Linked DNA regions of Saccharomyces cerevisiae S288C. The protein of the gene in region 1 binds, or shares a complex with, the protein of each later gene. Each region holds a gene or a part of one and is shown in the gene's direction. Other genes may lie near its edges.

Evidence for each region. The genes of interacting proteins can lie anywhere in the genome.
Region 2: RVB2 (region 1) and SWC7 share a complex: the UniProt entries of both Saccharomyces cerevisiae proteins name them as parts of the SWR1 chromatin remodeling complex.
Region 3: RVB2 (region 1) and IES4 share a complex: the UniProt entries of both Saccharomyces cerevisiae proteins name them as parts of the chromatin-remodeling INO80 complex.

The regions. Positions count from the first base shown.
Region 1 is NC_001148.4:101,669-105,147, forward strand, and holds RVB2 (RuvB family ATP-dependent DNA helicase reptin), read left to right. Parts: upstream 1-1,563; coding exon 1,564-2,979; downstream 2,980-3,479. Other genes in the region: putative serine/threonine protein kinase ENV7, read right to left, coding at 1-1,034; VMA11 (H(+)-transporting V0 sector ATPase subunit c'), read right to left, coding at 3,278-3,479. UniProt on the Saccharomyces cerevisiae protein: DNA helicase which participates in several chromatin remodeling complexes, including the SWR1 and the INO80 complexes.
Region 2 is NC_001144.5:892,492-895,312, reverse strand, and holds SWC7 (Swc7p), read left to right. Parts: upstream 1-1,922; coding exon 1,923-2,321; downstream 2,322-2,821. Other genes in the region: VAC14 (Vac14p), read right to left, coding at 1-1,685; Elongator subunit IKI3, read left to right, coding at 2,413-2,821. UniProt on the Saccharomyces cerevisiae protein: Component of the SWR1 complex which mediates the ATP-dependent exchange of histone H2A for the H2A variant HZT1 leading to transcriptional regulation of selected genes by chromatin remodeling.
Region 3 is NC_001147.6:687,637-690,474, forward strand, and holds IES4 (Ies4p), read left to right. Parts: upstream 1-1,987; coding exon 1,988-2,338; downstream 2,339-2,838. Other genes in the region: MSB1 (Msb1p), read left to right, coding at 1-1,544.

The DNA.
Region 1 (3,479 bases):
TCCACTTGAATGCATTTCTTGATTACACTCAAAAGCCCCTCAGAAAATCTGGAATTTCTCGGGAAACTGTACTTACCAGTGTTTATAGCGTAGGTTAAAGAAGCTCCATGTATCTGCTCTTCTCGCTCAAAGGGGGAGATACCGAACATTAAAGTATAGAACGTACAACCCAAAGACCAAATATCAACCTTAGAGCTCAAAACCTGATTTAATTTCAAGTTCAGAAGTTCTGGTGGAGTATATGGCAACGTACAATTGTCATTGACCCATTCTTGTAGTTCGCTGAGTTGATGTCTGTTTTCAATTGTTATATCAGCTTGAGAGCAGGAGCCGAGGTCACCAATTACTGGTAAACCGTCTGAAGAGAACAAAATGTTTGAAGGTGTAATATCGCGATGTGCATATGCTATTGAACCTGCTGAGTTGGAGGAAAGCATGTCCATCTCTAAGGGGGTGTCTTCTAGGAGCATCGCCGTTTCATCGCTATAAGTCATAGAAACCGCATCGACATTTACTCTGGAAGTAGCGTTATCTTGTCTTGACGCAGGATCATGTAAACAAAGTAAACCTCTTGTAACTCCAAGCATTATCCTTACGCATTCTGCCTCTGATACAAAGGTGCCCTCGAGTAACCTCCGATTAATAGAGTCTTGTAAACTCCCTAATGAATAATAGGGTAGTACTATGTAAATTGTTTTTGACCCATCTTTTTCCTGCATTACTTGTGAGTCGATACTTTTTATAACATAAGGACTTTGAAACCGTTTGTAATTTTCAATTTCTCGCATACCATTGGATATACTTTCCACACTAGGACAAATAATCTTCTTTAGTGCGTATAATTCTGGTGTTGCGATGCCGTTGTCTATAATCAGAGAATTCTTTGACAGTTGTACCAAATACACAAAGGACATTCCACCTTCTCCAAGTAGTCGTTGAATCCTATATCGTTTATCATTTACCCTAATAGTAGCATCGGAAAATCCGCGACAGCAGCACAAGTTCTGGAACAATTCCAATACAATAGAAATCATTGATCGGATAAGATGGTACAATCGTTATTTTATCCCTAGTCAGTCGCTGAGATTACAGGCTCTTTTTGTCTACTCTCTGTTTCGTCTTTTTGGAGAAAGTATGGTTCAACATCTTACAAAACCAGATACCGAAAATGTCCCTAACTCGGTGTCATAAGACAGGACTTATCAAAACAGAAAGGATCTTGCAAAAAAGAAAAAGAGCAAATTATGTAAACTTTGGGGGTCAACACAGTTGTATCAGTCGTATTGGTTAGACCCAATATAGCGGTTTTCTTTACTTCTTTGTTTCTACACTTATTAAAGTCTATTTAACTCCCTTTCACGTGATCAGTTTGAAAGAAACGTGAAAATTATTTTTTTCAGCGAACTTTTTGAAGGTTTTCAATAGAAGATGAAAGCTAAATGAAGACTGTACATTCACACGGGAAACGAGAGAAAGAAGTTCAGTTAGTTGAAGCCAGCAATACTACTTTCTCTAGCAGTCTAGCACAAGTTACTTTGAAAGGAAATAAAAAAAATTGTCAGCATGTCGATTCAAACTAGTGATCCAAATGAAACATCAGATTTAAAGTCGTTATCTTTAATTGCTGCCCACTCCCATATTACAGGTTTAGGTCTAGATGAAAACTTGCAACCACGTCCCACATCCGAAGGTATGGTTGGGCAATTGCAAGCCCGTCGTGCTGCTGGTGTGATATTGAAAATGGTTCAAAATGGCACCATAGCAGGTAGGGCTGTTTTGGTAGCGGGCCCCCCTTCAACTGGTAAGACCGCTCTTGCCATGGGTGTTTCCCAGTCTCTGGGTAAAGATGTACCATTCACTGCTATTGCGGGCTCAGAAATCTTTTCTTTAGAATTGAGTAAAACTGAAGCACTAACTCAAGCTTTTAGGAAATCCATCGGTATCAAAATCAAGGAGGAGACAGAATTGATTGAAGGTGAAGTCGTGGAAATTCAAATTGATAGATCTATTACTGGTGGACACAAACAAGGAAAATTGACTATTAAAACTACCGATATGGAAACAATTTATGAATTAGGCAATAAAATGATTGATGGCCTAACTAAAGAAAAGGTATTGGCTGGCGATGTTATTTCTATTGATAAAGCTAGTGGGAAGATTACCAAGCTAGGCAGATCCTTTGCTAGATCTAGGGATTATGATGCCATGGGTGCTGATACCAGATTTGTTCAATGTCCGGAAGGCGAACTGCAAAAAAGGAAAACAGTGGTTCACACGGTGTCACTGCATGAAATTGATGTTATTAATTCAAGAACACAAGGATTTTTGGCATTATTTACTGGTGACACCGGTGAAATTAGGTCAGAGGTAAGAGACCAGATAAACACAAAAGTGGCAGAATGGAAAGAAGAAGGTAAAGCAGAAATTGTTCCTGGTGTATTATTTATCGACGAAGTCCACATGTTGGATATAGAATGTTTTTCCTTTATAAATAGGGCTTTGGAAGATGAGTTTGCCCCAATCGTCATGATGGCTACAAATAGAGGAGTTTCCAAAACCAGAGGGACTAATTACAAATCTCCACATGGGTTACCTCTCGATCTTTTGGATAGGTCAATTATTATTACAACTAAAAGTTATAATGAGCAGGAGATTAAGACAATTTTATCTATAAGAGCACAAGAGGAGGAAGTTGAACTGTCATCCGATGCCTTAGATCTATTGACCAAAACAGGTGTGGAAACTAGTTTGCGTTACAGCAGTAATTTAATCTCTGTTGCTCAGCAAATTGCAATGAAGAGAAAAAACAACACTGTTGAAGTGGAAGATGTCAAAAGGGCTTATTTGCTATTTTTGGACAGCGCTAGATCTGTTAAGTATGTTCAAGAGAACGAGTCACAATATATTGATGATCAGGGCAACGTTCAAATATCCATTGCTAAATCAGCAGACCCTGATGCCATGGATACTACGGAATAAGCATTTTGTACTTTAAGGCAGAAATTGCATCAAATATATATGTATAAATAAAAATTTTATGTTTGCGTGATTGTTGGTGATAAGAAGTAAAAAAGTACACCTAAAATAGGCAGCAGTTGGCCAGCACGTTCAGAACCCCGTATGATATACCTTCTTTCGAATAATTATCGATTATCAAATGTATAGATAGCAGTATTATAATATATACTATATTCTATACATATATGAAGGGGGTTGGTGCGTGTATATGAGAAAAAATTTTTTTATTGTAATTATTTTTTTTTTTTAAACTTTTGACTCATTCAGAGCCTCTAGTGTTCAAAATCAAAGCTACAATCATACCATATAACCCTAAAACTTCAGAGAAAATTAGAATCAAAACGATACCGACAAAAAGCCTTGGTTGGTGCATATACTTTCTAACACCAACGTCACCGACCATACCAATGGCGTAGCCACTACTCAAACAGGCAAATCCCACACAGAGCCCACAACTCAAG
Region 2 (2,821 bases), on another chromosome or scaffold:
TGAAGAAACTGACGTAAATAATTATCATTTGAGTCAGAACATAAACTCTGTAAGAGACTTAAAGCTTTCTCGATTAGCACCGAGTCTCTATTTGATAATGACTTCAACAAAGTTAGGAACATGCTGTCGTTATGTTTCAAGATTTGGTTTGGAGCCTTGTGATAAATTAAGATGAGCCAATCCAAGCAGGCAATCTTGGCATCAATCCTACTATCGAAAAACTGTAGAGTTAAGCTATTAACGATTGGCCCGTATGCAATTTTCCCGTCTGTCTCTTTTCCCACATATGAGCTGCACAATGAGAGTAATTGACCGTTCACCAGCTGAGCAATTTCAGTAATATGCGGATCCGAATCGCTCAATAGCTTTAAAAGCACAGAAAGAATTTTTGAAAGGAAGGGGATAAACACATTTGGAGAAATGGATAAAATAACCTGAATCCAGTGTAATGCAATCAATTGAATCTCTGCCTCAGATGATGCCAAATTGTTCACAAGAACGGTAATAACCTCTGGGAAATTGAGGTTGATATCTTGACCAGGTATATATTCTTCGCCATCGCGAAGAGGTTCTTGGCTAGTTGCCTCGCTATCTAGCAGCTGCTCCTGGCTTGTCAAGTGTCTTTCATCATCTGTCTCATTAGTATTAGATAATTTGGTATCATCAGTCTCCATACTCAGAGGTTTGGATAACCCACCTAATGCAGTCATTAAAGTTTTCTTCTTTTCAGCAATAAGTGCACCATCGGCCTTTTTCGTTGGAGTAGAACTGTTATTGTATTTATCTTCCAGCATTTTCAGTCTTTCCAGTCTCTTCATTTTAATTTCAGTTTGTAATTTTGAAATGCGGTCGACTTCGTGAAGTAGTGAGTCCATAAGGGTGTGTGTAACTGTTCTGACATCTTTATGAGAATCGCCCAAGAACGTGAATAACCCGCCAAGAAATGATGGTAGATACGATATGAGCTCTAGTCCTGGGGTATTGAGCAAGACTTTAAGCCAGTCAACTAAAAAAACACGCGTATCAGGGTTAATGGCGTAAATTCTCTCTGTTAATAAAGGAATAAATTTTGGTAAAGAGAACGCCAATTGATTATCTTGCTCATATTCTTCTTGGTAGACATCCCCGCTGATTGGATCCGTTTTTATGGCTGGAAGCAAACCATGCGATCCATTATTTACAATGCTTATGTAATTGGATGCTCTTTCAGCAACAATATCTTTTATCAACCGATCTAATAGTTCAGCTGCTCCTCGGACCGAGTTTTCTGTATCAGCACTAATTTTACAGAGTACGTCAAATATTTCATTGAAATAGACCAGTATTTCACCCTTCGCAATCTTTGCAATATTGTACAAACTCTCACACGCATAAAATCTTACTTGGTCATTCTGGTCGCCAAAACATGCGAGAACTGGAGGAAGAATATTCCTCAAGTAACGGCCAACATCGTTTATTCCTAAAGCAATTGCTGTGGCAGCCAAGCCCATTAATCCTGCATTTCTAGCCATGGGCTGATGCAAAGCGTATGCATAGTCTCTGCATAGTTCGTCTATTATCTTGTCAATACGATCATAGTCCCCTTCTAGAACGCATTGTTTGACCAACTTTTCCAACTCCAAGGCGGCAGCCTTCCGTTTTTCGTATAGTTTGTCGCTTAAACCTTTGGCAATCGATTTTTCCATGTTCCAGTTCCTGTTGTAGCCTGAGCAGATAAGCACAGCAGCATCAAAAGGTTCCTCCTTCTGCTTCTCTATGAACCTTCCTCTCGTGTTCTTTTTCGAGCATCGCGGAAACGCGATTTAAGACAAACAAAGGGAACGTGCTATTTCATCAAATCACGGTGTAATCCTGCTTTGTTTCTGCATTTACAGTTAATTCTCTACTTCGTTAGCTGCTGATAGGACTTCAAGATTCGTACGATGGATTGCCCCTCAAACGTTGTGTTATTGTTGCTGCAATTAGTTTTGCAGCGCCAACAAACTCTAGCTCATCGAGATAAGTCGGTTGATTTGCAAACGCTGTTAAAAGATCCCGTCATTGATAATGACGTACTAGTAGAGTTCAAGACACACAAGTTGGTGCAATTATATGGCCCTCAATACTGCCGCGACATATCTCTGAGAGGGCTCAAAACAATGGTTACAGATATCTTCGCAAACGGAATCCCAAAAAATGCGCAATCTTCAGGGAATGATCAACCAGTGACTGTAGTGGACCTGGCCAATTACTACTACATGCAGAGAATCAATGAGCTACAGAATACAGAACTTCCTCAATTGAAAGAGGCATTGCTGACAAGGCTGGAGCACATGATCTAATACGTATAACACGATGATCAAATTTTTTTTTCTTTCCATAGTAATGAAAAGCGATGCCTAGGCAAGAAACAGTACAAATGCCTAATGGCTTATGGTTGAACATGACAAGAGTGGGTCAAAGAGGCAGGAGCTAAGATCAAATATGCGTAATCTTATTACCTTGAATAAGGGTAAATTTAAGCCAACGGCGTCTACTGCAGAAGGCGATGAAGATGACTTATCTTTCACTTTGTTAGACTCGGTATTTGATACATTATCCGACAGTATAACATGTGTACTCGGTTCTACGGATATTGGTGCTATTGAAGTGCAACAATTCATGAAGGATGGTTCCAGGAATGTGTTGGCTTCATTCAACATTCAGACTTTTGACGACAAATTATTATCTTTTGTTCATTTTGCGGATATTAACCAATTAGTCTTTGTCTTTGAACAAGGTGATATCATTACAGCCACTTATGATCCTGTCAGTTTGGACCCAGCTGAAACTTTAATTGAAA
Region 3 (2,838 bases), on another chromosome or scaffold:
TTAGCACACTTAATCCTGATGAATATCAGTTACCAGTAATAGAGACCGGTTCATCAAACTTTAAGATTGAAATACCGGAATTAATGTACGAACACGATGATGACGACAGTGACAAACTTAAAAATTCCCAGAAAAGAGCTACCGACTCAGCTATTGAAGAATTAAACGGTATGGTTGAAGAAATGATGATTAATGAGCCAGACGATGTAAAAATCTCCATAACTGAGGCAGAGACTTTCGAATCATTGACAAAGTTTGATCAATATAAGCCATCCAATATAACTGACGATGACTTACAAAGCAGCCATTCAAGCGCCGTTCACTCATTGAAGCTAAGTACAAATACAAATGATTCTTGCGCTGATAGTTCCAAATACACCGCTGATAGGAAATTAGCGGAACCTAGAAAGATTTCTGAGGAATCCAAAGTCAACGACGATTCATCATCATATTATTCTCCAAATATCAACAACTTGCCGGCATCAAGAATGCCTAGTCAACCCACTTATTCAAATTCGGATTCGAAAAAGGCATTTACGAATGAGTCTCGCCTGAACGTCTTACAAGGTGCAGTCAGTCCATCTCAACAGGTAACACCAAAACCATATAAAAATGCGCCTGGAGACTGTGTATCTCCTGTTCAGCAAAAATACTATCAGAACGATCGTAGAAATGAAATGTCGCCTGCAAGTGCACCAGTTCCACCTTCTGCATATTCACCTGCGAGGTCTCCACAATTCTCCACCAATTCGGCTGGATTCAAGCAGAACACGATTAATGTACCCGTTGGGTATAATGATCCTGCTCACGTTTTAGCAAATCAACCACATATGACATATCGGGACCAGCATAATTATCCATCTCACCAACAAAAACAACGTCCCTTCCAAAACAATATTGTGCCCCCAGAACTAAAGTCCAGAAATCAACGGGCAGATGCTTCACCTATTCCCCAACATATGGTGCCAGTAAAACAAGGTGTGCCCAATCTTCCATCTAACGTTCCATTATATCAACAAATGGAACGAATGAACCCTAACCACCAGCACCCTGTAAATACTTACAAGGTAACTCAGCCGCCGTATCATAATAACACAACAAATGCTTATGGGAACAGCCGGGCAGGCAATGCTCATATGTTAGATGGAAAGTGGAGCAATAATCCGCCGCAAATGGTACCAAAGGGAGTTCGCCCCAATCAATATCCACAGCAGCACGTTAATAGGTATTCACCGCAAGCTCAACCTGTCGTACCTGCGGAATACTACAATGGACCTCCACCTATGCGAGCACCTCCAATGATGTCCCATATGGTACCAGCTCAGGAGCCGATACGTTACACAGCTGGTGCTAACAGGCGTAGTTTTCCCCAAGGCATGCAGCAGAATGCCTATTCCGTACCCGCTCAGCCTATGGGGGCTGTAAATAGTGAATTTTACCTACCAGAAGCTCCTCAGGGAAACAAACTGCATGGAAATATTAACAAAAGACAGGAGAGAAAGAAGCTATATGATAACATTAGAAGCGGAAATTTCGGCATATAGAAACACTTTGTATCTGAAATTATCATCTTTATGAAATCTCAACAGTTGTAAAATTTCCCGAATATTTATACATATATATGTGTATGTAATTACAAGTATTTAGGACAATAAGGAGAGATTTAAGTCTACTACATAATTTTTAACTCCTACAAATGGCAGGTTACGTTGAGTAAGAATATAACATTTTATTTTCCATATTCAACATCATATGCATTTTATCATCTCATCCTCTTAGTCACTAATTTTTCTAACGCTCATAACAAAAGGTGCGTTACGCCGTCTAGAGCTTTTCTTGAACGTTAAAACTTTACCAAGCAGTTGACGGGTAATCATTCTCATAATCCAAGTAATTTTAAAGATATCAACAAAATGTACTATAATGCCAACACATTCTTTACTTATATTGGCCGGAAGATAAATCCAATTTCTCGAGTAATTGTGGTATGTCCCAAGAAAGTAGTGTTTTATCAGAATCGCAAGAACAACTAGCCAATAACCCTAAAATAGAGGATACAAGCCCTCCCTCTGCCAATTCGAGAGATAATAGCAAACCTGTACTTCCGTGGGATTACAAGAATAAAGCCATAGAGATCAAGAGCTTCAGTGGTTATAAGGTAAATTTCACCGGCTGGATAAGAAGAGACGTAAGAGAAGAACGTCAAAGGGGAAGCGAGTTTACTGCATCTGACGTTAAAGGATCAGATGACAAAGCTACAAGGAAAAAAGAACCAGCAGATGAGGATCCTGAAGTAAAACAACTTGAAAAAGAAGGAGAGGATGGACTGGACTCATAAGGTAATGTCAACAGCTTAAAGTTGTTCTCAGGGCCCCACACTTTCTAGTTTGGCACGTCATTTATGAAATTCACAAATTGGTTACATTAAGTACTAAATCTGGTAGCCGACCAAAAAAGAACAACAAATATACAATTGTATGAGTAAATATGCAATATAAATCAAATGTATTTAGTTAAAGGGCCAGAAGTAAGGCTACAGACTGTAAAAGAAAATTAGATGGAAACCCTCTTCAGGAAAAAAGGACATTATAAAAGATACAGCCAAGAAGTGGGCGTTTATAAAACAATTATATAACATGACCGTCGATTATATTCTGACAGGAATGGCGACGATTGCATCGTTATATTTCATTTCATTCCCAACTCAACGATACTGGTATCAAAAAGCCTCTCTGTTCATTATTTGTCCCACTACAAGCGACTCTCTTATTTTTGGCGGTCTCTGCCAGCTTAAGAAAAAGCGGTTACCAAACGACACTAAAAGAAGCGGCGCGTCTG